Rattus norvegicus: one gene and its partners. The protein of the gene in region 1 interacts with the protein of each later gene in a pairwise test. Links are inferred from orthologs where the notes say so. Each region holds a gene or a part of one and is shown on either strand. Other genes may lie near its edges.

Region 1 (4,266 bases):
CCAGCGGGAGAGGCTGAGGAGCAAGGAAGGGAGGGGACTCCCTGGTCACTGGACTTTCAGCTACTGCCTAAATATACCTTCCAGGGGAAAAGCGAAAGTGAGGATTCCCCAGCCGGACACTAGGGGGAGACCCATCATTGGCCTGGAAAGAACCCTGGAGATTAAAGTATAGGCGAATTTATAGACAATTCCAGGTCTGGTTTCAGAATCCCCACACACTCTATACAAACACCATTGCTCCCCGTACCCAGTACCCTGAGGATTCTCATCTCTTTTATAAAGTAGCTTAGTGCTCAGCGAGAACCTATGCATTTTAACCCCGTCTATATTAAACACCCGGTACTGTGCGAGTATATCTGAATCATCGCTATCCAGTGCTATTTAATAAACAATGAGGAAAAAGCGTGTATATGTTCACTGTAGACATGCCCCCACCCCCAATATTTCTACCAGTGGTTTGTTGAAACCCCAAATATGGAATTTTTAAATGTGGTGCAGTGACTCTCTAGTCCCAAAGTTGCTTGCTGGTGACTGCCACTAAATCAACCAAAGCTGTTATTTAAGGGGGAAAGTGTGAGCGAGGCCTCAGTCAGAACCGCAGAACTGGAAAGAGCAATGGCGCCTGCAGCTACCAAACCAGAGCGTAGAGGGCCAAGCACCCTTGCTAGCCTACGGTCGATCGGGGACAGGTTCGAAGACCCACAGTCCCACCTGCTCTCTTTCCCGTGGGACAGGACTGAGAACGGGCCCGCTAGTCATTACCACTACATAATTTTCAAGACCCAGTGCAAAAAGAATAGGCCGGGTCAAGAATTAGGATTTTCAAGATGGTGGCCACATACATAAACCTTAAGCCAGACAGGAACCTATGGCGCACCCCTTGGTGCTGGCAGGATGCGGACTTCTCCACCCCGCACCCCTACTCAGGTGAACCTTGCATACCGGGAATAAAAGAGGTGTTTAGGGGATTGGTATTTATTTCCGCAGTGGTTACTCCAGCAACTAAGGGGGTTGGGGGCAATTCGGGAGGAGAGTTCCTGTCCATCCATGGGGCACAGAGGTCCCTCAAGATCACCGGATCACCAAAGGTCACCAGTCACTCTAACCCCAGTCTTCGAGGAGGGGCAGCCTCTGCAGCAGGGGTGAGAAGGGAGAGCTGATGTAGCCAGTTTCCCAGAGCGGCCCGGAGAATCCGCGGGGCGCCTTGCTGACAGCAGCGGGCTCGCTCCCGCTCCCGGGGCCCCACCAGGGTTCCAAGCCCTCCCTTCCCACCTGCTCCCCGCCCCGCCGGTGTTAGGGCGTCCTGGGAGCTAACCAGAGGGGACGGGGCAGGGCTGGAGACAGAGGCAGAAGAGCTGGCGCCCACCGAGCCTCGCGGATGCTCAGACCTTCACCAACCCCCTAGTCCCGGAGTCGCCTCTAAACCCATGCGGCTCGGGCCCGCAGTCACGCGTGTTGCCCTTCCGGCCTCTCCGTGGGCTCCGCCCCGCCCCGCCCCGCCCGCGGGCTGCGGGCCCTTTAAAAGCGCGCTCGGCCGGAGCCGCCCCTTCTGTTGGCCAGGCTCTGGAGCTGCTGCCGCCTGCGGGCCTTGGCCATGGCGTCCCCGGCCATTGGGCAGCGTCCCTACCCGCTGCTGCTAGACCCCGAGCCGCCGCGGTATCTGCAGAGCCTGGGTGGCACCGAGCCGCCACCGCCCGCCCGGCCGCGTCGCTGTATCCCCACGGCCCTGATCTCCGCGTCCGGGGCGTCAGAGGGTCGCGGTAGCAGGAGGAATGCCCGGGGGGACCCGGAGCCCACGCCCCGGGACTGCCGACACGCTCGCCCTGTCCGGCCCGGTCTGCAGCAGAGACTGCGGCGGCGACCTGGGTCGCACCGACCCCGCGACGTGAGGAGCATCTTCGAGCAACCGCAGGATCCCCGCGTCTTAGCCGAGAGAGGAGAGGGACACCGTTTCGCGGAATTGGCGCTCCGGGGTGGCCCGGGCTGGTGTGACCTGTGCGGACGAGAGGTGCTGCGGCAGGCGCTGCGCTGCGCTAGTGAGTGAGGGCGGGGGAAGGTGCGCGAGGTGAAGGGCTGTGAGCCTGGGAGAGGAGGCCATTGCCTTTTGTGGCCAGCCCGAACTTTAGGCAGGTAATGTTGGAGACAGTGCTGTCACTGCCTGGCATCCTCTAATGGCTGCCCACTGGCCAGAGGTGGTTATATGTGTACAGTTACGTTGTCCTCAGACGGGTACGAGCCTTCTACCCTGTGCATGCAGGCAAGCTTGTTTGCAGGTTGGGATTTAATGGTTCTCCACAAGGTCATTCGGTTGTCTTACGCAAGTTCTCTTCTTCCTTTAGTTGTAAGTTTTTAAAATTGGGCACTGATATTGATAACGAAGTATTTGACCCTACTTATTAGAGTTAATGGGGAAATGACTTGTTGGTCACCTCAGGGTTTTCTCAGGATCTTCTCCTAGGGAGCTGTTGGCACAGGAAGCCTGGCTAGGCTTTGAATGGAAACAGGCTGTGAGACTGAAAGATGCCAAGGTCACCTGCACCTGAGCCTCCTCAGCCCGCCACACCTGGGTCCTCAACCCTCTGTACTGCATATGCTCCAGTGTTTGATGCGCCCAACCTCCTCCTCCTCCTCTTCCTTCTGCACTCTTGCACCCATCTTCCAGCTCTAAGCTCCCTGCCCGTTCCTTCCACAAGGAATCCCCACTGATCTGCTGGCTTCTCCCAGTCCTGACTGAAACACTGGACACCAGGGTAGAGAATTTCTGAGCAAATCTGCACCCTTTTGAAGTCCGTGTCTCCCTGTAAGAAGTCTCCTCCCCACCAACCCAGGGATCTGCTGTTGCCAGAGGATACTCATACCCACGTGCTTACATAGCTACTCTGAGCATGTGAGGCACACGGCGCAGTGACGGTTTCCAGCAATCATCTGTGGATTTCGGCCACATCTCTTGGTTAAAGGGCCTTTCTCCTACCTTACACCCTGTGCCTCCTTCAGACTGCAACACTGGACAGCAGCAACTAGCCCTACCCTCGCTCCCTCTCAGCAGCTCCAGGAAGTGTGAAAAGGGAAAGTGGGTGCTCTTCTCCCCACCATGAGCATCCTTCCCCCCATACAGGTGCCTGTTCAGGAGATGGCTGGGCATGTAGAGTCCTATGCCTGTGCTGTGTGTGCGCACTGGCTGCTGTCCCTTGTAAATGTTGCTGACCTGCAGAAGAGTCCAGTGCAACTTACCTTTGGATACGCTGCTCGCCCTTCCTCCCTCAGTCTTCTGGATGCTCCCACTAACCCTGTACTCAGGGGAAGAGGCAGTGGCTTCGCTGTTACTTATGCTCAAATCCCAGAAGCTGCATTGTCTGTGAAAATATGCTGGTTGTAATCCTTGCCTGTATTTAGACTTTGGGGGACCGACAGCTTTATTTACGCCGAGTTTTGTGCTATTCTTCTGGTTAGCGATGATGATGTGTTGGTGGGTTTCTGTGGGTATCGGTGCAGTACTCCGTGACTAAACGAGCATCCTCATACCACATTAGAACTGTTTATTTCCCTTGCTCCGTCCCTAAACAGTTCCTAGCACTTGGAAAATAGAAGCCACAGGCAGGGCCTCTGACCTGCCACTTGCTGGGGTCCTTTCACTTTCTTGAGTTCCTGTAGCCTCCTCGTAGTAGATTTCATACCAGCCAGAGACGCGGGAACGCCGAAGAGGCAATAGCGCTGGAGTCAGGAAGGCCACAGAAAGGAATCTCTGTTTGTTGTTTTTAATATTTAACTAACCGTGAGTGTTCGGCTGACCAGGAGAAAGTTGAGACATGTTGGTGCGCAGGGCAGACTCACCAGGCATCTGGTGTTAAGCTGAGGTCTGGCTCTCTGAGAGGGTTTGTTTTATTTTCATTTTTGAAAAGCGTGGGTGGGGGGGTGTCAGAAAAGGGAACTTTTAAGAGGTAATCCTGCTGGGAAGGCAGGGGACAACTCAACTGGCAAAGCAAGCATGAGGACCAGAACTTGATCCTGAGAACCCATGTTAAAAATAAAGAAAGCAGACACAGTGGCACATGCTCGTAATCTCAGTGCTGGGCAGAGTCCTGGCCGGCCATTACTGGCCAACCCTAGCTACGTGTGCACATAGACACACACACACACACACACACACACACACACACACTCACACGCTCAAACTGGAACCGAAGTCCTGACTTTGAATCCAAAATGTCACTTAGTCTCTGTGTGACCCCATGACTCTCTCTCTGTTGCCTTCCCTTGTCTTTAAAA
Region 2 (3,500 bases), on another chromosome or scaffold:
CGTTTCCCTCTACCTTTATGTGGGTTCTAGAGATTGATGTCAAGTCACTAGAGCTGCAAGGCAAATGTTTTAATCCACTAGCCATCTTCCCACCCTGTTGTTGCCCCTGCTCGAGCAGAGCATAGACTCGAGCTTACTGTGTACCTGAGGTTGACTTCAACTGCAGTGGGGGTGATAGGTACAGTGTAGAAGGCTGATTGAGCACTTGAAGGTTGGTGTGCTGTGGTGCTGCAGCTTACAGTGCAGACCTTTTACATAGTAGGCACTGGGCTGTGTGCCCAGTGTTCAGTTCATGGCACCCATCTCAACAGGCAGGCTCCATGATTACAGTAGCACCAGATCAGCAAAGGATCTGGGTTTAATTCCCAGCACCCACGTGACAGCTCACAACTGTCTGTAACTATTTCCAGGCAACACATAATACAAACAAAACACCCATACACATAAAATAATTTTTTAAAAAAGTCATTTGTCAAAATCCAGTGCCTACCCATGGTAAAACTCTAAGCAAGCCAGGAGAACTTGCTCAACTTCATAAAGAAAACAAACTTAAACACTTAATATCACTGTGGAGATTAAGCTAGGGTTTGAAAGATTGTCGTATCACTGATGGGAAAGCTTCTGAACTCTTGTCAAGTGGCACCGCTTTGGAAGCTTCTTGCAAGCATCTACCAAGGACACCCCTCTTCTGTGGCCACACAGTTCTGCTGCTCGAGAAGTGAGTGCATATTTCCAACAGAACCATGGAGGCTGGAACAGTGGTTCAGCAGTCTTGAGCAATAGCCATTCTTACAGTAGCTCACAAGTAGCTTTAATTGTGGGGGCAGAGGGCAACCAGGGAACTGTGAGCACTGGACAGACACATGGCACACAGAGAAACACGTAAGCAAACGCATACAATAATAAATGTTTGAAGTGTTTAGAGTTAGAGACTGAATCTCGAAATGTAGTTCAGGCTGGCCTCAAACTGGTGATCCTCCTGCCTCGGTTTCCTAGGGCTGTCATCATGACTGTGCACCATCACAGCAGCTCTGTCTCCATTCATTTATTTATTTTTGTTCTTTGGCGGTTTTGAAAGAGGGTTTCCCTGAGTCCCGGCTGTCCTGGAGCTCACTCTGTAAACCAGACTGGCCTCAAACTCACAGAGATCCTCCTGCCTCAGCCTCCCGAGTGAAAGCAGCTTTGTTTATAATAAAAAAGAAAAGTGAAAAGTCCATATGTCCATCAACAGGAGGGTAGACTAACTGTAGTATAGCCATACAGTGGGATATTAGCCACTAACCTTTTAAAGGGATAAAATAACTTTTTACTTGTAGTAACAAAAAAGGAAAAAAAAACCATTGTTCTAATGTTTGAGTAAAATAAGCTAGGCATGGGGCTGGAGAGATGGCTCAGCAGTTTAGAGCACTGACTGCTCTTCCAGAGGTCCTGAGTTCGATTCCCAGCAACCACATGGTGGCTTACAACCATCTGTAATGGGATCTGATGAAAGCTACAGTGTAGTCATATATATATACATATATATACACACATATATATACACATATACATATATATACACATATATACATATATATAAATATATAAATATATGTTTATATATAATGTAATTATATATAAAATAAATCTTTAAATCTTTAAAAAGTAAGCTAGGCACAAACATACGTACACACTCATATATACTACATGTGTGTGTTTCTATGAACTCAAGGGTAGGTAGTAATCAGTGATGGCATTGGAGTGCAGGAGAGACTGAGAGACTGACTAGCAGCAGTGGTTGAAAGTCCTTTCCAAAACACCTGATTTGGGCAGTGTTTGCTCCCCTCATGTGCTAAAGTAGGCCCTGACCTCATGAAAGCCAACTATTAAAATTTTGCAAGTTGGCAGGCATAGTGGTGCATGTCTTTGATCACGGTACTCAGGAGACAGACGCAGGAGTACCTCTGTGTTAAAGACCAGTCTGTTCTACAAAGCAAGTTCCAGAACAGCCAAGGTTGTTATACAGAGAAACTCTGTCTCGAGAAAAGCAAAAGACCCAACAACAACAAAAAAGAATTTTGCAAATTGTCAATCATATGTGGATGGCTTCAGATTGGCCATGGTAGGACTTTGTGCGTCATGAAAATCTATAAACGGTTCTTCAAATTAAGGAAGTTTTTTTCCCTAAGATTTGTTTTTATTTTATGTCTATGGATGTTTTGCCTGCATGTATATCTGTACAGTACAGTGTCCTCGGAGGCCAGAGGATGTCAAAACCCTCTGGAACTGTAGTTACAGATGGTTGTAAGCTACCACGTAGGTGCTGGGAATCGAACCTGGGCCTCCAGCTAGTGCTCTTAGCTACTGAGCCATCTCTCCAGACCCTAGAAGGTTGGTTGGCATACATCTGCCAGCATGCCACTTCTTCCTGCTACTCACCCCTTGACTTCTGATGGTCAAGCAAAGGAATTTGCATGGAGATAAAACAGGGAGGTTCCAAGGAGCTCTCTCTTCCAGCCCAGTAGGTACCAGGGAGGTGCTAACGAGCTCTCTCCTCAAGCCCAGTAGACTGTGACAAACCAGCATCTTCACTGCCTTTTTGCCTGGGCTAAGCATTGCTTCCTGTGTTCCTGAGATCAGCTGTTGCCCAATAGTTGAGTTTTCCATTCTAACAAGGGTGACTGCTTCGTGTCTGTGTGTAAAACAGTGAAAGAGCACATCTGAGCCTCCCATAGGCTCCTGCAAACAAAGGGGCTTTGATTTTAAGTTCAAAGTCTTACTCTCTTTGTTTCTGCCTCTTTAGGAGCATTCTGGAAGAGTTTTCCGACTCCAGTTTGATGAATTCCAGATTGTCAGTAGTTCACATGATGACACAATTCTCATCTGGGACTTCCTAAATGATCCAGCCACTCATGCTGAACCGCCCCGCTCCCCTTCTCGGACATACACCTACATCTCCAGATAAATAACGCGACACTGGCCTCATAATTGCCCAGGTATGAGAAGAAGCGTACAGGCAGCACTGTGTTGGCTGTGGGTGCTGTCACTCTCGGAGGGGTCTCATTCTCCGACTTTCCCCCAACCCTGTACACAGGAAAGCAGAGCTGACAGCCCAGTGAGCACCACTTTCACCAAGTAGCCAGCTGCAGTTCTAGAAGATTCTTCTTATATAGCAGTACTAATTGTAATCGTTCCTTCAGTACAATTTTTATGAAAGTAAGAGGACATCTGGGCCAGTTTGAAAACTAGTGAGCCCTAGCCTGTCATTTATAGCTCCTAGATCAAGACCTACAGGGAAGACCCTCTCCATCTAACTCTTCTAGCGTGACTGGAGACAGCTCTAGCTGTGTTATGCCACGGACGTCACACAGCTCTGCCTTGTTGGTCTCACTGGGAACAGAAAGTGGCTTTCTTGTCTCTACTCTCTGCTCGTCTACAGAAGAACACCTAGCTTGTTTGGTCAGCCCCAGCAGTTATCGTGAACTTGGTCCTTGCCACATCTCTAGCGCCTCTCAAAGGCA
Region 3 (4,300 bases), on another chromosome or scaffold:
ATTCCATACAAACATCAGTAAAGGTTATCTACAGCCGCTGTATTAGAGTAAAGAGATCGGGTTTCTAAAGGGCAACAGAATGAAGACTTCCAGGAGGTGGGGGATATGATGTGAGATCACAGAAAGTTAGGCAGGGAAAGGTGTGAGGGGGGCGGAAGGGGGGGATGTCATCATAGAAGGCAGCCTAGGGAAGTACACAGGGAGAATACAGCAGGAAGGAAAACCAGTCAACAGAGGAACTAATGAAGTTGGAAGGAGATTTTATATATATAAACATGAGAAAATTCCAAAATGCTTGCTTGCTCAGTGGTGGAACTTTCTACCCCAAGAACTAACAATTTTCTCACACCTAGACATAAAGCTTGTAACTTCTTCCTGTGATCGAACAACGCTGACAGAAATGTAAGTGATATCAAGTGACACTTGGGTCGCCATTTACCTTCGAAACTCTGACCCAGATTTCAAAGGGCTCTGCTAAGAAGTGTTTATGCAACAGTAGTTAATCATAGAACAGGGTTTGATGGCCTAAGAGCAGAACTATGGAATGTCTTTGCATATTAGGGTCACGGTACACTGTCAGAGTTCACGTTTGTGCAATGTTGATTAACAAAGTGCCGGACTGTATTACATGCTATCTTTGCGAATAAAGGATGTGGGAGTCACTTGTGAATGACTTATTTGTGCCTACATTATGCTGAAAATAAGTTTTCAACCATTATCCCTGATGCGAGCTGCACAGTAACGTAATGGGACAGAATACAAAAGGCACACATCAGCTGGGCTTAACTCCTACCCGTTGGGTGGACAGTCCTAGGCATTCTGTTTCTGCCCCCACGCAGCTTGGAAGACAGACAATATGGGTTGTCCTGTCTTCTGACCAAACCTGTTTGACTCCATGGAGGGAAGCTCTGGCCTCATTGAAACAGTGAGCGCCTGCGGTTGCGCTGGTGGCTCACTGGCGTCTGTTTCGTGTTCCTTTGAAGACCTTTCACCATTGGCTTAGCTTCCAAGCCCTGAGCACAAGACAAGGCAATCGTAACTCCTTCCACCCGGGCAAACACTACGCTTATTAAAATAAAGTAACTCGCCGCTATTTTATAAGCCAACGCCCACGGGGACCAGGTCGGGAGGATACCGGGACCGAGAGCAAAGGGCCAGACGTTTCTAGCAATTTCGCTGCCCGTGACGTCATCTTAGTGCACCATCATGGCGTCTTCCATGAAACCCCTGTTTAAATGCCTTTCAAAGAAGAACGGGAGACGCGAAGTGGGTTAAGTTCCCCCGCTGTGCCCAGCGCTCCTTCGACCTGGAGGAGCCCGCGCTTCGTCCGCCGGCTAAGAAAGGAACGAGCGCCGCCAGGCCATGAGTCGGCTCCTTCGCCAACGCGCTACCCGGCGTGCCTCGCGCAGCCGGCCGCCAGGAGTCGGCGCCGCGGCCAGCGCGTTACCCAGCGTGCCCCGCGCGGCGCCCGGCGACGAGCGTGGGGGAGGTGCGGGAGGAGGAAGCGGCGGCGACGCGGAGAGTCCCCGCGTCCACACGGCAGCCGATCGCCCACCGGGGCCTGCACCCGCAGCCCGCGTCTACGCACCGTCGGTGGCCCCGCAACCTGTCGCGCCCCGCGGACCCGGCCGCAGCCCCCAGTGTCGCGCTCGCCTGAGTCACCGCCATGGCCGAGAGCGCAGAGAGCGGCGGCCCACCGGGCGCTCAGGACAGTGCGGCCGACAGCGGCCCCGCAGAGCCCAAGATCATGAAGGTCACGGTGAAGACGCCTAAAGAGAAGGAAGAGTTCGCTGTGCCCGAGAACAGCTCGGTCCAGCAGGTGAGGGCGCGGGCCAGGCGGTCGCTGCGTCGCCGGCGGGGCGGGGAGGGCGGCGAAGGGGCGGCCTGGCCGGGCGGCGGCCCCGGGGAGCTCCGGTCAGGTCCCGCCGGGTTCCGCTGCGTGAGCTGTGCGGGGCCGGGACGAGTGAGCCGCGCGGCCTGGGCTGGGCTGCGCCGCAGCCGCCGAGCTCCGGGCCCCGGGACCCCAGTCCTCACAAAGGAGCCGGGAGCTGCTGGGAGGCAGGGCGCGGGCGTCGCTCGGCCTTTGACCAGGCTGGGTGGGGGTCATTGTTTTACCTGCCTGGGAATTGGAGAGGTTTGGGGGCGAGAAGCACGTGGAGGGCTAGTTCTCGGTTTTGAATGCTGAACTCTCCCCCACCTTTCAGCCTTTTATTATAAAAATTATGACGCGGAACTTGTTTTCAGTCACACTGTACTAGCTCACGCCTGAAAGGAAAAAAGTAAATGACTTTTTGATTCATAGGCGACTTGCTGCTTCTGTGAACAATACTTCCGTCATCGCTTAGCTGCCACTCATTGGATAGGTTTTTGTTTGATTTTTTTAGGGAGATGAGAAGACACCTGACTGGGTCTTAGCGGTTGCAACGGACCGCAAGGAAACATGGTTGATGTTAAGGCCGATAATTGCCTTAAAGTCTATTCAGGAAAACAAATCTTGCAGCTAATTAAGAGCCTTGGTAGAACCTATCAAATGTAGTTTTCAACACGGTCTAGAGCATTTGAATTGTTGACAGTATCAAACATTGTAAACAGTTTTATGCGAGGAAGCAGGGAACAGCCACTGGAATGTACCTGTAAGTTCTCTCAAGGCTTATCTAGTTCCAAAGGTGAAGTCGGTTTCTTTTCTGAAGCAAGAGGATGTGTGGCACATTGAGAGAAACTCTGGTTGACTGAAGCATCATTCCTTGTGCGTTAACGCTGCTATAAAAAAAAGTTTACCGTCTTTATGTTTTCCAGCAGGTGTGTCCGTCACCCACAATTGACATTTTCCTGCGTTTTCTGTATTGGGCATCTCTTACTTCTAAAATACACTTACTATTAAAAATACTGCAAATATCAGTATTACCCTTATAAGGAAGGTAAGCCACATAAATATTAGTGGCTTGAGAACAACGTCTTTGAAAAATGGTATTCCACATGATGAGAGGCGCAGTGATACGGACATGGTTGCCTTGGCTGGTTTCCCCAGCTCCATCTACACCTGTGTCAGCCAAGCAGGCCATAGTGGAGCCTGTTAGAGTGAACTACAGGCTTCCTTCCGTTCCTCTTTTTGTCACCCCTGTAAGGATTGTTTTTCCTACAAGATTGAGTTCACAGAGACCTAGTTGTCTCTCATGTGGTCTTCTGGATAAGGCTTTTTTTCTTCCTCCACTCAGCATAGTTTTTGAGATTCATCCCAGTGAGGTCTGTATCCCTCCCACGACAGAGATTTGCATACTAGGCACAGGCTTCATTCTACCACTGAACCAAGTCCTCAGCTCAGTACTTAACTGCTGAGTGGTTTTCCACACCATGAATGTGCCGTCACCTGCCCAGGGTCATCTGTTTTCAGCTGCAGTTCTTGTGAAGAGCCTCAGGAGTCCTTTTTGAGGCCATATGCTCTGTTATTGTTTAGTTGCTTTTGTTTTTATTTAAAAGACAGGCTTTCACTCTGGAAGTTTGGCTATCCTGGAACTCACACTGTGTAGACCAGACTGGCTTCAAATTCATCTGCCTTACTCATCTGAGTGTTGGTATTAAAGGCATTCACCACCATGCTCTGCCAGTTCTGTTTAGTTTTATAAGAAACATGAAAAATGTGCTATTTTGCAGTTCAGTCTACATCATATGGGTGTGTGCTCCTTCCTTCTGTCTCCTTGTTAATATTTGGTACGAATAGGGTTTTTTCTTTTTCTTTTCTTTTTAAAGATTTATTTAGTGTGTGTGAGTACACTGTAGTTGTCTTCAGACACACCAGAAGAAGGCACCAGATCCCATTACAGATGGTTGTGAGCCACCATGTGGTTGCTGGGATTTGAACTCAGGACCTCTGGAAGTGCAGTCAGTGCTCTTAACCACTGAGCCATCTCTCCAGCCCTGGTTTTTTTTTTTTTTACATTGTAACCGAGTAATGAATGTGTGGACATACTAAATTATGAAGCTCTTGAGTCTTCCTGAGAGTCCCAGTTTAGATTTCCATCTTCCTGGCAGCTTCCACATTTTATTTCAGGACATTAGAAATAATACTTTATAAATAGAAAAATTATTTAGGTGATTATCTATAGGGTTTTTTTGGGGGAGTGGGGAATAGTGACACTAGAATTTTAAATTCCGTGGAAGCTTATGTTTTGCTGTGCTGTAAAAATGTCTTTACTGGGTAAAAGTAAAGCTTTCCTAAAGTAACTTATTCTAATGTTGGTTTATCTGTTTCCTGTGGGAGCAGTAAATGTGATAAAAGTTGAAAGCATACCCTGTCCCCCCA
Region 4 (4,246 bases), on another chromosome or scaffold:
CCTGCTGCCTGGAAGGAATGAGCCGTAGACCGGTGAATGAGTGCAAGCATGCACTGGTTCTGCAGTGCAGGAACTGTAACGTGTTCACGAAACACAGCGCCATGAGCTTGCCCTCTCCGCGAGGGCTCTGTTAAGATCCCAGTCCTTTTTTAATACTTTTCCCCTCATCAGAAATACATATCACTGAGCCCACGTATGAGGTGCGCCACTAGCTTGAGCGATACAGCAAGACTTCGTCTTAGATACACGGCAAACAAACAGGACAGAGATAGGGTCATTGGCAGGCAGGGATGGCTAGATTGCTTCACAGCAATGCTCGGGGAAGGTCTAAAAGATAGCTAGTCTCCATTCTACTGTGAGGACATTGAGCTTCAGAGAGATGAAGTTGTCCAAGGATCCAAGGCTGAAACCCACATTTCCTGGTTTATTTTACAAACCAAAAGGAAGAGAGAGAGAGAAGTGGGGAGGGAGGTAGGGAGAAAGGTACGGAGAGAGGGAGAGGGAAAGGGAGGGAGGGAGGGAGGGAGGAGGAGGAGGAGGAGGAGGAGGAGGAGGAGGAGGAGGAGGAGGAGGAGGAGGAGGAGGAGGAGGAAGAAGAAGAAGAAGAAGAAGAAGAAGAAGAAGAAGAAGAAGAAGAAGAAGAAGAAGAAGAAGAAGAAGAAGAAGAAGAAGAAGAAGAAGAAGAAGAAAGACAGTATAGGCCAAGAGAAACAAGTAGTAAATATGAAGATTTCACACCTTTAACTACTAATCTCTTGTATTGCGATACTCTTCCTGCTAGGTCCCAAGATAAGCCTGTTACCTTTAAGATGGGGTAACATCTGGTTGTCTGAAAGAAAGGACAGGGAGTGTATCTGGTATATTGCAAATGAATTCGATGAGAGATAGGATGGGTAACATAACTATTTAGCAGAACCCACGCCTAGAAACCCTTGGCACGTGTTAATGTAAAGAATGGTGCTTGGATCAAGTTACCGGCTTATTATGGGTCAATTGCAAAAACTTTTCTACTCAAGAGTGTTCTTTTGAGAACTCAGAGGCAAATCCTAGCGGAAAAGCATCAACTTTAGGCTCTGACTTGCTCAAACCACCGGGTCATTAGAGTAACCCCACGCAGGAGTCCTGAGAACCGTGGCATCGCAGGAGCGTTTGATCACAGTACTCTCAAACCGGGACAGAAAGGCGTCCCCTGGAGCTGCGGGCGACAGCGGGCTGGGAGGAGCGTCGCCCAGTGGCAGAGGCCGCGACGGTACCCGGGGTTGGGGAGAGAACTGGCTCCCACCTCCCGCAGCTCCACAGGCGGTGCCGGGAGGCGGGGCTTCAGCTATTGAGACTGATTATTGGCTGCCGGAGCTGGGGAGGAGGGGCAAGCACGCAGTGATTGGTGAAGACCGGCGCCGGAGGGGCGGGGCCTCTATAAAAGACGAGTGCCTGTAGCGGCGCTGGCAGTGGGGCTGTCGGAGCGGCGCGGCCGTGTAGCTCCCGGGAACTGGCTGTCGTGGGGGGTGGCGGGGACGCGAGTGGCGGCTGCGTGGGGTGCAGGGCGGGTGACCGCACGGCTGCACCTTCCTCGCGGTGCCCGGAGCCGACTTGGAGCAATTGCAGTGAGGCGACAGCCCCGGCGCACACCGGAGAAGAAGCGGCCGTGGCGGCGGTGGCGGCGGCCCCAGCCATGCTGTGCTATGTGACGAGGCCGGACGCGGTGCTGATGGAGGTGGAGGTGGAGGCAAAAGCCAACGGCGAGGACTGTCTCAACCAGGTGATGGCAGTGATAGGAAAGGGGATCCCTGCTCATTACCGGGAAGCCTCGGGGCTCAGGGATGCTCCTCCGGAGCCGGGCGACGTTGCAGCGGCGGCCCGTAGAGCGCTCCCGGGATGCCAGGCTTCAGCCTCCTCCTCCCTGCCAGCTTGGGGTGGGGGGGGGGGCATAGAGGACGCTTACGGTGGGGGAACCTGGGCCTGGAGACCAGGACACTGCCGGAAACCTCCACCCTGTCTCCTAGCCTGGCACTTTTCTCTAAAGAAGGTGGCAGGGCACACCTGCCGCAGGTGTGTGTATGTGATGCCTCCCGTGGAGTCCTTGCAAAGCCCGGCAGCGCCACCCGCGTCCCGGGATGAGGTGGCTGCAAATGGTCGCTGGCCCCGGGGTTCCCTAGCTGACCAGGTGAGCCCTTGTCTCAAGCTGCTTCTTAGAAGGACTGTTCGTTCACCTGACACACTCCAGGTTTGCTGGGGATCCAGAGTATGCCCGAGTAATTTGCGGGGGAACGGTTCTGCCGGCAGTCTCCTGCTTGGGGTCTTTACACGTGTGTTTTCTTAAGAGTGACTAAGGCTCTTAACAGTGTGTGCATAATGGGTACAGCAGACCCATTTGACCCCTGGAAACACTGTGCCTTCAAGACCTGTAGACCTGAGCTATTTGGAGAGCTGTGTGTAAAGCTTAGCTGACACTTGTGGCATGCTTCCTCAATGCGTTTGTGTTTTTGGAATCCAGATGGTTAAAACTGTCCAGATAATAAGCTGCCGAATCAGCTGTGCAGATGGTGCTGGTGGAGGGAATTGCAGCGATTGGAATAAGAAATAAAATACCCTGTGGGTTCCTCTTCCTCAGCCATTTGGGAAATCTGTTTGGGGGGACTCCTTTCTCTGTGCAATTGGTCAGACCCTAGAAATAATCGAGCAATGCGAAGCCTCCATTGGAGAGCTGCGTTTTGGCTTTGCTGATACCTTAAAACCTTGTTTTTCCGGTCTACCACTGGCATTGCAACAAGGTAGAACTTTAGAAAAGTGGTTGCCAGCCCTTCACTCAGATGTTTGCATTGGGTTTGCATTGCTCATCTCCCCATACCTTTGGTTCTGTTTTTTAGGTGTGCAGGCGATTGGGAATCATAGAAGTTGATTATTTTGGGCTGCAGTTCACGGGTAGCAAAGGTGAAAGCTTATGGCTGAATCTGAGAAACCGGATCTCCCAGCAGATGGATGGGCTGGCACCTTACCGGCTTAAACTGAGGGTCAAGTTCTTTGTGGAGCCCCATCTCATCTTACAGGAGCAGACAAGGTAAAGCGAGGCGGAAACAAACCAATGTCAAGTACACCTCTGATTCCATTTAGAGGCAGCTATCCTGCCCTCCCAGAGATGTCCCCTGGCAAATTTGACTTGGTGCAGAGAAAGTTCTGGAAAAACTTAAATTCGTTTTTCGAAGCACAGTTGGCCTGGGTGGATTTTTTTCTCCAACACCCCGCTCCCCTCCAATCTGTATAATATTAGTGAGAGAACAGGGCTGACTTCGTACAAACAAAAAGAAAACCTGACACCGACTTCCTGACTGCTTCATCTAATGCCCGCGAGTAACCCCGCCTCAGCAGTGTTACTACAGGTCACTGTAGACTGTTCTAACCGAAAGCAGGAAACTGTTCCTCTTGGGTTGCTTAAACTTGGTCAATCTTCAGCCTAGTGTCAGATTACAGTGTGTAGCGGGAGTGCTCTGTCTGGCCTCCTGCAGATTTGAAAACTTTTTTAAGTTTCACAAAAAATTAATAAAAGGACTCTTTGAAGGCCACTGTAAACTGAATTCCACCCTACAGATATATTAAACATGATTGATTGTTGGGCATGAGGTTTTTTCTCCCCCCTCCTTGTTAAACGGAGGGCCCCCAGCCTTGGTAGACAACTGAAGCCTGTGGGTGTGGCCTCCTTTTTCAAACGACCAAAATACATGCACACACACACACACACACACACACACACACACACACACACACACGTTTCCCTCTGAGCTGACTGTAATACTTTTCTCAAAGATGAACCAAAATAGGAAGGCGGGGTTTAATATTTATTACTGAAATGCAAGAGACTACAGGAAAAAAAAAAAGAAAGAAAATGATTGCTTTTAAAACCACAGCAAACTCTGGATCCCAGCACTGATGTTTTCCATACTCCTGTGGCTTGGAAGTGGGCCACGCATGTGAAAAATGTGATCTTGTAGATTTCTACTCCTAATGGGGGAACAGGCTCCTCAGAGAGATTTTAACATACCGGTTTTTGTTTATTTACTAGACAAACAATGGAAACATTAAAAAATACCGTCCATTTGGGTTTGGAATGTCCACGTTGCCTTACCATGGTATTTTAAAGGTTGGGAGAGATTTTTGTTTACAGACAGACAGACAGACAGACGAACAGACCAACCGATCTGGTTTGTGAAAGCTTCCTTAGTTCAGTAAGTGAGAAAAATACATGACACAG
Region 5 (3,500 bases), on another chromosome or scaffold:
CCGGGCATGTATCAGGCTCCATACCATACCCAGCACCAGAAAGACCACAACAGCTCCAAGTGACTACAGATACATATCCCATGGTTAGGAAAACTTACGACTCTATCTGACTGCAACACTCACTTGTGGAAGCCACAGGAATGTTGGGGAAGTTGGTGGTACTGGTGGCATTAGACTCTGATGGGGCTAACAGAGCTGGGGCGCTGTACGTCTCCGTGGATGCGCGATTACTTGGTGGATGTTGGATGGTTTGAATCGAATGTCCTTCCGTGGGTAAGGATGGCTGTCCTTCAAAGTCATGAACATATTCATCCTTCACTAACATACTTGGTGGAGCTATGCAAAAAGAAAAGACACATTTTTATATTCTTCCATTTTCACACACACAAAAAACTACATACCAAGTAATATGACAGTATCTAAAACTTAACCATAATATCAATTCACATTCAGAATTGCTTTTCATATTGCAGAAAAGCATTTTCTCAGCTATAGCTACATTAGAGATTTTATCAATTTGACTCACTGAAATTTGAAGACATATTCTTCAGTTTTCTGACAAACTTAGAAGTACATAATCATCTAAATAAGTAAAAACCAATGCCTAGCAAAATGAGTTCAGTCCCTCCATCAGACATAGGATGTGTCTATGCCTTCACCTGGTGAAGAAGAATTCTGCCTCCCTGAGGATTTCCCACGTTTAACCTCATCCTCAAGCCATTGGAGACAGTGCTGCTGTCACACCTGAGAAAAGGCACCTAAAACCACACACGCCAGTGCTCTTTCACGATCACCAACATAAAGATACCGAGTCAGTCTACAAGCACACAGGCAGGCACTCAGTCTGACGCTGTCCATCGATGACTCCTCCATCTCTCACAGGCTTGACTCACTTGAAGCGATAGTGCAATCCACATGGAAAGACATCAGCAAGCAGAAGCACCATCTTAACACGGTGACCACTGAATTAGCTGAACTTAAGAGCCAACTTCCAGACAAGGGGCTCTGCATCCAAAGTACCAAAACTAAGACAGGAAGGATAATCAACTTGTCTCTGACATGGCCCAAGTGTTCGTAAATATGAGCAGAGGAACGTCACCACAGTACTGGCAACACCCACACTAAAGCCGCATGGATCACTGACTACTGACTCCTGCTTATTCTACTCCAGGTTGAAGAGGAAGCCTGTCAGGTGACAGGAGACCATGTTCCCCAATATGATCCTAATCCCCCGCTCTTTCAGCATTCTTACATGCCACTTGGCTGAGGATCTCAAAGCTTTCGGTAAGTGCCATTACAGAAAGCCGGAGTTCCAACAACCTTCAAGAGGTGCCAGGTGAGCCAATCAAAGGTCAGTAAAAGGTCCTCAGCATAGGCCACCATCCTGTCCACTCCAGGAGAACTCATCATTTCTCTAACAGTCCTGCTTCAGTCAAGGATATTAAATTCAAGGAGGAAATAGCCCAAGCCCATCATGCAAGTCTGAGGGCCATACCTCCTGCCTGTCCTGCAAGTCTGAGGGCTGTAGCCAAAGGAACCACAACATTAGGGAAATGGTAGGTCTTATCTGTGGAACTACAGAGAGTTTTATTGGGTTAAAAATGTAGGAGAGAGTTCAGTAAGCTTTGGAACTTTTCTCAGCTGTGTTAGGTTGTCGGCCATATTATTAAAGTCATCTTATCCTTTAATTGATTTGACAAACATAAAAAAGATACACTTTAGGCACATGAGAAAAGACTGCTCACAGGTACTCCATGGGTTGGAAAAACCATGCTAAGGAAAGAACTTACATCAAGACCAAAAGCCTGATCATCATCTATCATGGAGTCTGACAAGATGGCTGCTCAAAATGGACAGATGCTAGCACAAGTCGTGAGGGATATGGGGCTTACAGACTATGAGCCCAGAGCTATGATCAGATGTTGAAGTGTGCCTTCCAATATGTGACCACAGTTCTAGATGATGCTAAAATGTATTCAAGCCATGCCAAGAAGCTACGGTTTATGCAGATGTGCACTGGCAATACAGTGTCTGCTGACCAATCTTTGATGTCTCCTCCTCTGAAAGACTTAATAGATTTTTCGAGACAAAGAAATGATGACTGTGATAAGCTGTAATCCACCCATAATACTTGTAACAATATATGCTTGTTCTCAAATCCACTGCACCAAAATTAAGTAGTATACTGCATGTGTTCAAGCTGTATTTTAGAATATGGTACATTAATTATACTTAATTATACTATGGTTTTCAATTAAAATGCTGAGTCTATTTTAGTAGAATTAGTAATGGTTTTCCATTGACTTTTAGGTATAGAAATAAATTGCCAAAAATTTCAAAAGCGCAAAGAAAGAAGGGAAGGAGAGGAGGAAGGAAGAAGGGAAAGAGGGAGGGAGGGAGGGAGGGAGGGAGGGAGGGAGGGAGGGAGGGAGGGAGGGAGGAAGAAGGGAAAGAGGGAGGGAGGGAGGAGTATGTTTGGAAGTCCTGCCAGCCTAGAGAAAAAAAAAAACAAGTCACAAAACACTATGGTGATACACAGATTTAGGGGCTCAGAAGATGATTTGCTACCAAGGCTAGACACCTGAGAACGGTTCCAGAAACTCACAGTAAGAGAAATGATGCCAAGTAATCACATGCATGCACCCATGTGTGTGTGTGCACACACAGGAATGCATGCATCCACATGCACATACATACTTGCTTTAAAAAAAGAACCCACCAAGGCCCAGAAGTGTTCACAGTTTGTGATTTTTATATATAAAAAAGGGAATAATGCATGTATTTTCTGCATGAAAAATAAAGACGCCCTGGAAGCAAACACTAGGACCTAACCAAGTGACCACACAAGCAGAGATGGGAGCACTGGGAGCCAGCTTTCACCAGACACCTTTCTATATTGTTTCATTTATGGACCAATTATGCTGCTTATTAAAAAAACCAATTAAAAAATACAGTCTATACTTTTTAAGTCCATGAAAAAAGACTCAGTTCTCTACAGGACTAGAACTGATAAAAAGGGTTTACTAGAGTGGCTCACAGAATGCAGTCCAGCTAGTCCAGCAATGGCTGTCTCCTGAAGGAAAGTCCAAGAATCCAGCATGGGTTCAGTGCACGAGACTCCGTGTCTCAGCAGTCTTCAGTATACATGAATCCTGGAGGAGGCGGCTCTGGCAGCAGTGAAGGACTGCGTCCCCTCACCAGCAAGATCTATGAACTTGCCAGTGAGTGTGCAAGAAGGCAGAGACAAACATTCTTTGTGCCTTTGTATAGGCTGCCCTGAGGTGCAGTCAGATTTAAAGTGGGTCTTCCAACTTCAAGCAGTCTGCATTTAAAATAGGTCTTCCTACCTCAAATGATCCAATTAGGTAAAAACCCCTCACAGGTATGCCTAGTGTAGGCTTGGGATGTTAGTAAATCCAGATATAATCAAGTTGACCATCAAGAATAGCTAAGACAAGTCGTCTACTCCTTGTCAAGCCAACACACCATCACATCTTATT
Region 6 (4,014 bases), on another chromosome or scaffold:
GAGTCAAGATCTTCCACTGAAGCTGGCTCTGGTGGAGTATGCCTTTAATCTCAGCACTTAGGAGGTAGAGGCAGGTTGGTTTCTGAATTCGAGGTCAATCTGGTCTACATACATGTTCCAGGCCAGTCAGGTATATATACAGATGCTGCCTCAAACAAATTCCTACAAACCCCATACTAAAAATATACCCCCTGTCCCCTAAAAACAACAAAACAGAACTGTGTGGCTGTATGGAAGGAGCTACAGGAATCTGTGAGTTTTATTTTTATCTGCCAACAATCCTATAGTTCAGCTTGGAGCTGAGTCTTGAAGGTCATTTTTGGACTAAAGTGGGTCTGCCCGTTTTTGGGGTGTGCCAGGTCCAAAGGGAAACCACCACCCCACCCCCATTTCCTTCCCAAAAAAAGGGCAGGCATGTGCTGAATATTGAGAGGGTAAACAAAAGGATTGCTGGTGGATAGATCGAGTATTCTTCTAGAAACTGTTGGTTTCTGTCTCCCAATAGGTGCCATTCCATTATCTTCCTCGACTTCCTCATGGCTGTCTATTGAGACATAGCTGTGATTACATATCAAAGCCCAAGCTAACCTGCAGGCTCATTGGGTCCCTAGTAACATGAGCATCCTAGCCTTCCTTACCTCCTCTACCATACTCTCAGGCGGTTCTAGAGTATAACTAGTTCACTCCCCTCCGCAGCAGTTATGGTATAGCAAGGTCCCGACCTGCTATTCTCTCTTCGCTATTTTCTCTGCCCAGAAGATAAATCCCTGGCTTTGGCCAGCCTGTTTCTTCCTCTCTGCTCAGGAGTCTTCCAGATGCTGTTTGTTCTCTCTCATCTACAATAAAACCTCACCAGTCGTGGAGCAGATATTTCTGTGGTTTCTTTACTACGCTCTAGCTTACAGAGTACTTGGGGCATTTCCCCTTGGCTCTAACAAGAACTCAATTCTTATCAAGCCCATGCTTTGCTAACAGCCTCACCGCCTGAGAAATTGGAGAAACCTCAGTTAGGCTTGAGAGTATTCAGTCCAAAGGCAGGTCAAGGAGAGGGTGACGCTAACACTTGAGCACTAGAGGCCGCCCGAGAGGAAATTCTTTGGTCTCAGACTTCTGTATCCGCCCGCCACTGTACCACGTGACTCACGCCGATCAGCCCGGCCTCCTCTCGCTTCCGGTAGGGGCGGAAAGCGGAAGTGTGGGAGGGTTTGCGGGGCGGGCTCCCAGAGGATGGAGCATTGAGGCAGTCTGGGCGGCTGCTGGCAGCGCCATGGAGACCGTGCAACTGAGGAACCCACCGCGCAGGTGAGGGGCCGTAGGCTGAGAGGAGGAGAGTTGGGTGGGAAGGGAAGGCGCGAACTTGCTCAGGGTAGACCCCGGCGTGCAAGCTCCTGCCGGGCGGAGAGGGACCCGCGAGGCTGGGGACCCGGCTGCAGGAGCACCTGCTGAGTGAGAGAGCATCCGCTGGCCGGGATAGAAGTGGTTGTGGTTAGAGAGAGCACTCTCTGGGCAACGTGCGGACAAGTTAGGGAGACACCAGCAGAGGCCGGGGAAAGGCGCCCCAAGAAGGATCTCGTGGATGTAGGGGCGAATGCTGAGGCCGGGTGAGAGCGAGGACTTATTGAGAGTGTCCTAAGTACCACAGACCGTGCGGTGGTAAAAGGTCTGATGCTTTGCTCCTGAGGCAGAAGTCGTTAGAAAAATTGATTGGAAGTCTCATAGCCAGTAAGAGGAGGAGTGGGGTTTTGTGTCCTGTCTAAAAAGTCATTGCTTTTAACTGCCTTACTGGGGAAGTACCAATGCTTCGTGGTTCTAGTAATGGAGAGAGGGTTATGGGGGAGTGAGTTTCCAAGGGTTTTGAGGGTGTCAACCTCATGTAGTAGTGGTGATGGTAATTAATGGCTTTTATTACTGATGTCCTCCTGAGTGTCTGCCTAATTTTCTTCAAATCCTCCCTAGTCTTCCAACACCCAAAGTTGGGACGTCGATAAGGGGGTGGGGTGGGGTGGGGAACCGGGGTTGTGTAAGCTGAGGTCCAATAAACAGTTTAGACACAGTAGGTTCAGTCAGACTTTGTCCTTTTCCAATTCTGTTTCGATACTCTCAAGTCCAGATTCTGGAAGTATCTAGAATTGTTTTGTGTTAAGATGAAGGTGACTGACTTTAGGAAGTCTCAACTCCTAAACGGGCTGTTGGTGCGTTGGACCGCTGCCCCTCACCTGGAGGAAAGAGCGTAGAGCCTGAGGGAGTCATGCTTCTCTCAGATACAGCCAAAAACTTGGGTTTCACAGAGAAGACGTTTGACTTCCTGCAGCAGAATGAGCACTAAAATAGGAAGTGTTCAGAGTAAGGGAGTGCCCCGCACCCGAGAGGTGAAGGGAGCAGATTGAAAGCCTGGGGCAGCACCCTTGGTGGGGGTGGGGGTGGGGTACATGGAATCAAACAAACGGCTTTTAAGATGGGCTCAGGTTTGACTTACTGTGGTGTGCGAGGCTCTAAAAGCAATAATTATTAATTACAGCCGGAGAGTGCTTACAGGTCGGCAGGCACTGTTTTAATTGCTCTCCATCTCTCCTCTTCAACCATACGAAATTGCTGGTGTTTGACCACTTCTGAGCTTGTAGAAGTGGTACTTTGAAATGGTACACCTTACTGACGCAACCGGCCTTCACGACGATCATAGGAGGAGGATATCCTTGTCTCCTGACTGTACAGATGATGAAGCCAGGGCACAGGGAGGCAGGGCATTTGTTAGCTGCCCCATAGTCAGAGGCGCAGTTGGAACGTTAATGTCTGGTGATCTAATCTTAACACCCTTGTTCTTGCTTCCCTACTCTGAAGCCTCTCTGGAAGTTACCTGTTCCATTGGGTCTTTGTGTATACACATCTTAGCAGCTTGTTACTCTATGTGTGCAGTCACCGCTAGACCAGTGCATTGTCTTTGGTTCCTTTCCCCCAAAACCTTCATTTAATTAAAAGGTTTTTTCCCTTTGTGTTTGGTGATAGTGGGTGGGGTGAATTTTTTTGTTTTGTTTTGACTTTGCTCATTACTTGTTGTCTTTCTTTTTCTTTTTCTTTTTCTTTTTTTTTTTCTGAGACAGGGTTTCTCTGTGTAAATGTTCTGGCTGTCCTGGAACTCACTCTGTAAACCAGGCTGGCCTTGAACTCACAGAGATCTGTCTGCCTCTGCCTCCTGGCTGGACCACCACAGCCCAGCAACTTTCCTCATTCTTACAGCGTTTGGATTTTAAGAACTGTAATAGAGTGCAAGAGAAGAGTTTTGCAGGGTCGATTTGGTGCTGTTCTGTTCTGTATTTTATTCTCACCGGAATTAACTGGTTCAGATTACTGTAACAAGCACCACACCTGGATGGCCTAAGCAACGGAAATTAATTTAATTTTTTATTTAGTTGCCATTCTGGAGGCTGGAAGTTGGAAATCAGATGTCTTTGGTTTACAAACGGGCACCTTTCCCCCACTCTTCATGTGCTCTTCGTTCGTATCTCTTTGTGCCCTCATCTCTTCTGATTTCAAAATGGCCTATCTCCAGGTACAACCTCATACTCAGAGGTTCTCTGAGTTAGAATCTTAACAGTCACACGAGGGAGGGGCACAGTTAATTCAGTTACCCTTTTTGTTTATTTTGAGACAGGGTCTCACACAGGTGTCCTCAAACGCTCTACAGTCCTGCAGCCTCCAGCTGCCTGCCTCAGCCTCCCGAGTGCTGAGATTACAGGCAGAAGCGACTGGACTGACCACTCTGTTATTAAGATGTTCCGGTTATCTTTTATAGCAGTAATCTGGAACATTCTGCTAGAGGAGCAAATGTACGTAAATGCATCGAGCCTCTGAGCGTTCTGACATGGGATGGTCGATTGAAAATGAGTCATCTGCGAGGTCACTTTATGACAGCTCGTGTTCAGAAAAATACAGATGTCTTCTTGAGAGGTTCGGATGGTCTGTGCCCCAACTGTCTCAGTGCAGGACATGCTCTCTGCAGTCATTAGCTTGACGTTT

The links.
Region 2: the proteins of Rassf5 (region 1) and Btrc interact in binary tests that used the Homo sapiens proteins (3 or more experiments, as listed by UniProt). The two-hybrid records come from large-scale screens. The link is inferred for Rattus norvegicus from reciprocal best matches to the Homo sapiens genes RASSF5 and BTRC.
Region 3: the proteins of Rassf5 (region 1) and Ubqln1 interact in a two-hybrid assay, tested with the Homo sapiens proteins (3 studies listed by BioGRID and IntAct). The link is inferred for Rattus norvegicus from reciprocal best matches to the Homo sapiens genes RASSF5 and UBQLN1.
Region 4: the proteins of Rassf5 (region 1) and Mylip interact in binary tests that used the Homo sapiens proteins (3 or more experiments, as listed by UniProt). The two-hybrid records come from large-scale screens. The link is inferred for Rattus norvegicus from reciprocal best matches to the Homo sapiens genes RASSF5 and MYLIP.
Region 5: the proteins of Rassf5 (region 1) and Smad4 interact in binary tests that used the Homo sapiens proteins (3 or more experiments, as listed by UniProt). The link is inferred for Rattus norvegicus from reciprocal best matches to the Homo sapiens genes RASSF5 and SMAD4.
Region 6: the proteins of Rassf5 (region 1) and Stk4 interact in binary tests that used the Homo sapiens proteins (3 or more experiments, as listed by UniProt). The link is inferred for Rattus norvegicus from reciprocal best matches to the Homo sapiens genes RASSF5 and STK4.

Annotation. Positions count from the first base shown.
Region 1 is NC_086031.1:45,252,478-45,256,743, reverse strand, and holds the start of Rassf5 (ras association domain-containing protein 5), read left to right. Parts: upstream 1-1,466; 5' UTR 1,467-1,594; coding exon 1,595-2,036; intron 2,037-4,266. UniProt on the Homo sapiens protein: Potential tumor suppressor. Seems to be involved in lymphocyte adhesion by linking RAP1A activation upon T-cell receptor or chemokine stimulation to integrin activation.
Region 2 is NC_086019.1:254,319,864-254,323,363, forward strand, and holds part of Btrc (F-box/WD repeat-containing protein 1A), read left to right. Parts: intron 1-2,782; coding exon 2,783-2,944; 3' UTR 2,945-2,975; intron 2,976-3,500. UniProt on the Homo sapiens protein: Substrate recognition component of a SCF (SKP1-CUL1-F-box protein) E3 ubiquitin-protein ligase complex which mediates the ubiquitination and subsequent proteasomal degradation of target proteins. Recognizes and binds to phosphorylated target proteins.
Region 3 is NC_086035.1:6,442,940-6,447,239, forward strand, and holds the start of Ubqln1 (ubiquilin-1), read left to right. Parts: upstream 1-1,500; 5' UTR 1,501-1,666; coding exon 1,667-1,819; intron 1,820-4,300. UniProt on the Homo sapiens protein: Plays an important role in the regulation of different protein degradation mechanisms and pathways including ubiquitin-proteasome system (UPS), autophagy and endoplasmic reticulum-associated protein degradation (ERAD) pathway.
Region 4 is NC_086035.1:19,511,672-19,515,917, reverse strand, and holds the start of Mylip (E3 ubiquitin-protein ligase MYLIP), read left to right. Parts: upstream 1-1,446; 5' UTR 1,447-1,672; coding exon 1,673-1,759; intron 1,760-2,867; coding exon 2,868-3,058; intron 3,059-4,246. UniProt on the Homo sapiens protein: E3 ubiquitin-protein ligase that mediates ubiquitination and subsequent proteasomal degradation of myosin regulatory light chain (MRLC), LDLR, VLDLR and LRP8. Activity depends on E2 enzymes of the UBE2D family.
Region 5 is NC_086036.1:69,539,685-69,543,184, forward strand, and holds part of Smad4 (mothers against decapentaplegic homolog 4), read right to left. Parts: intron 337-3,500; coding exon 124-336; intron 1-123. UniProt on the Homo sapiens protein: In muscle physiology, plays a central role in the balance between atrophy and hypertrophy. When recruited by MSTN, promotes atrophy response via phosphorylated SMAD2/4.
Region 6 is NC_086021.1:173,166,778-173,170,791, forward strand, and holds the start of Stk4 (serine/threonine-protein kinase 4), read left to right. Parts: upstream 1-1,214; 5' UTR 1,215-1,267; coding exon 1,268-1,302; intron 1,303-4,014. UniProt on the Homo sapiens protein: Stress-activated, pro-apoptotic kinase which, following caspase-cleavage, enters the nucleus and induces chromatin condensation followed by internucleosomal DNA fragmentation.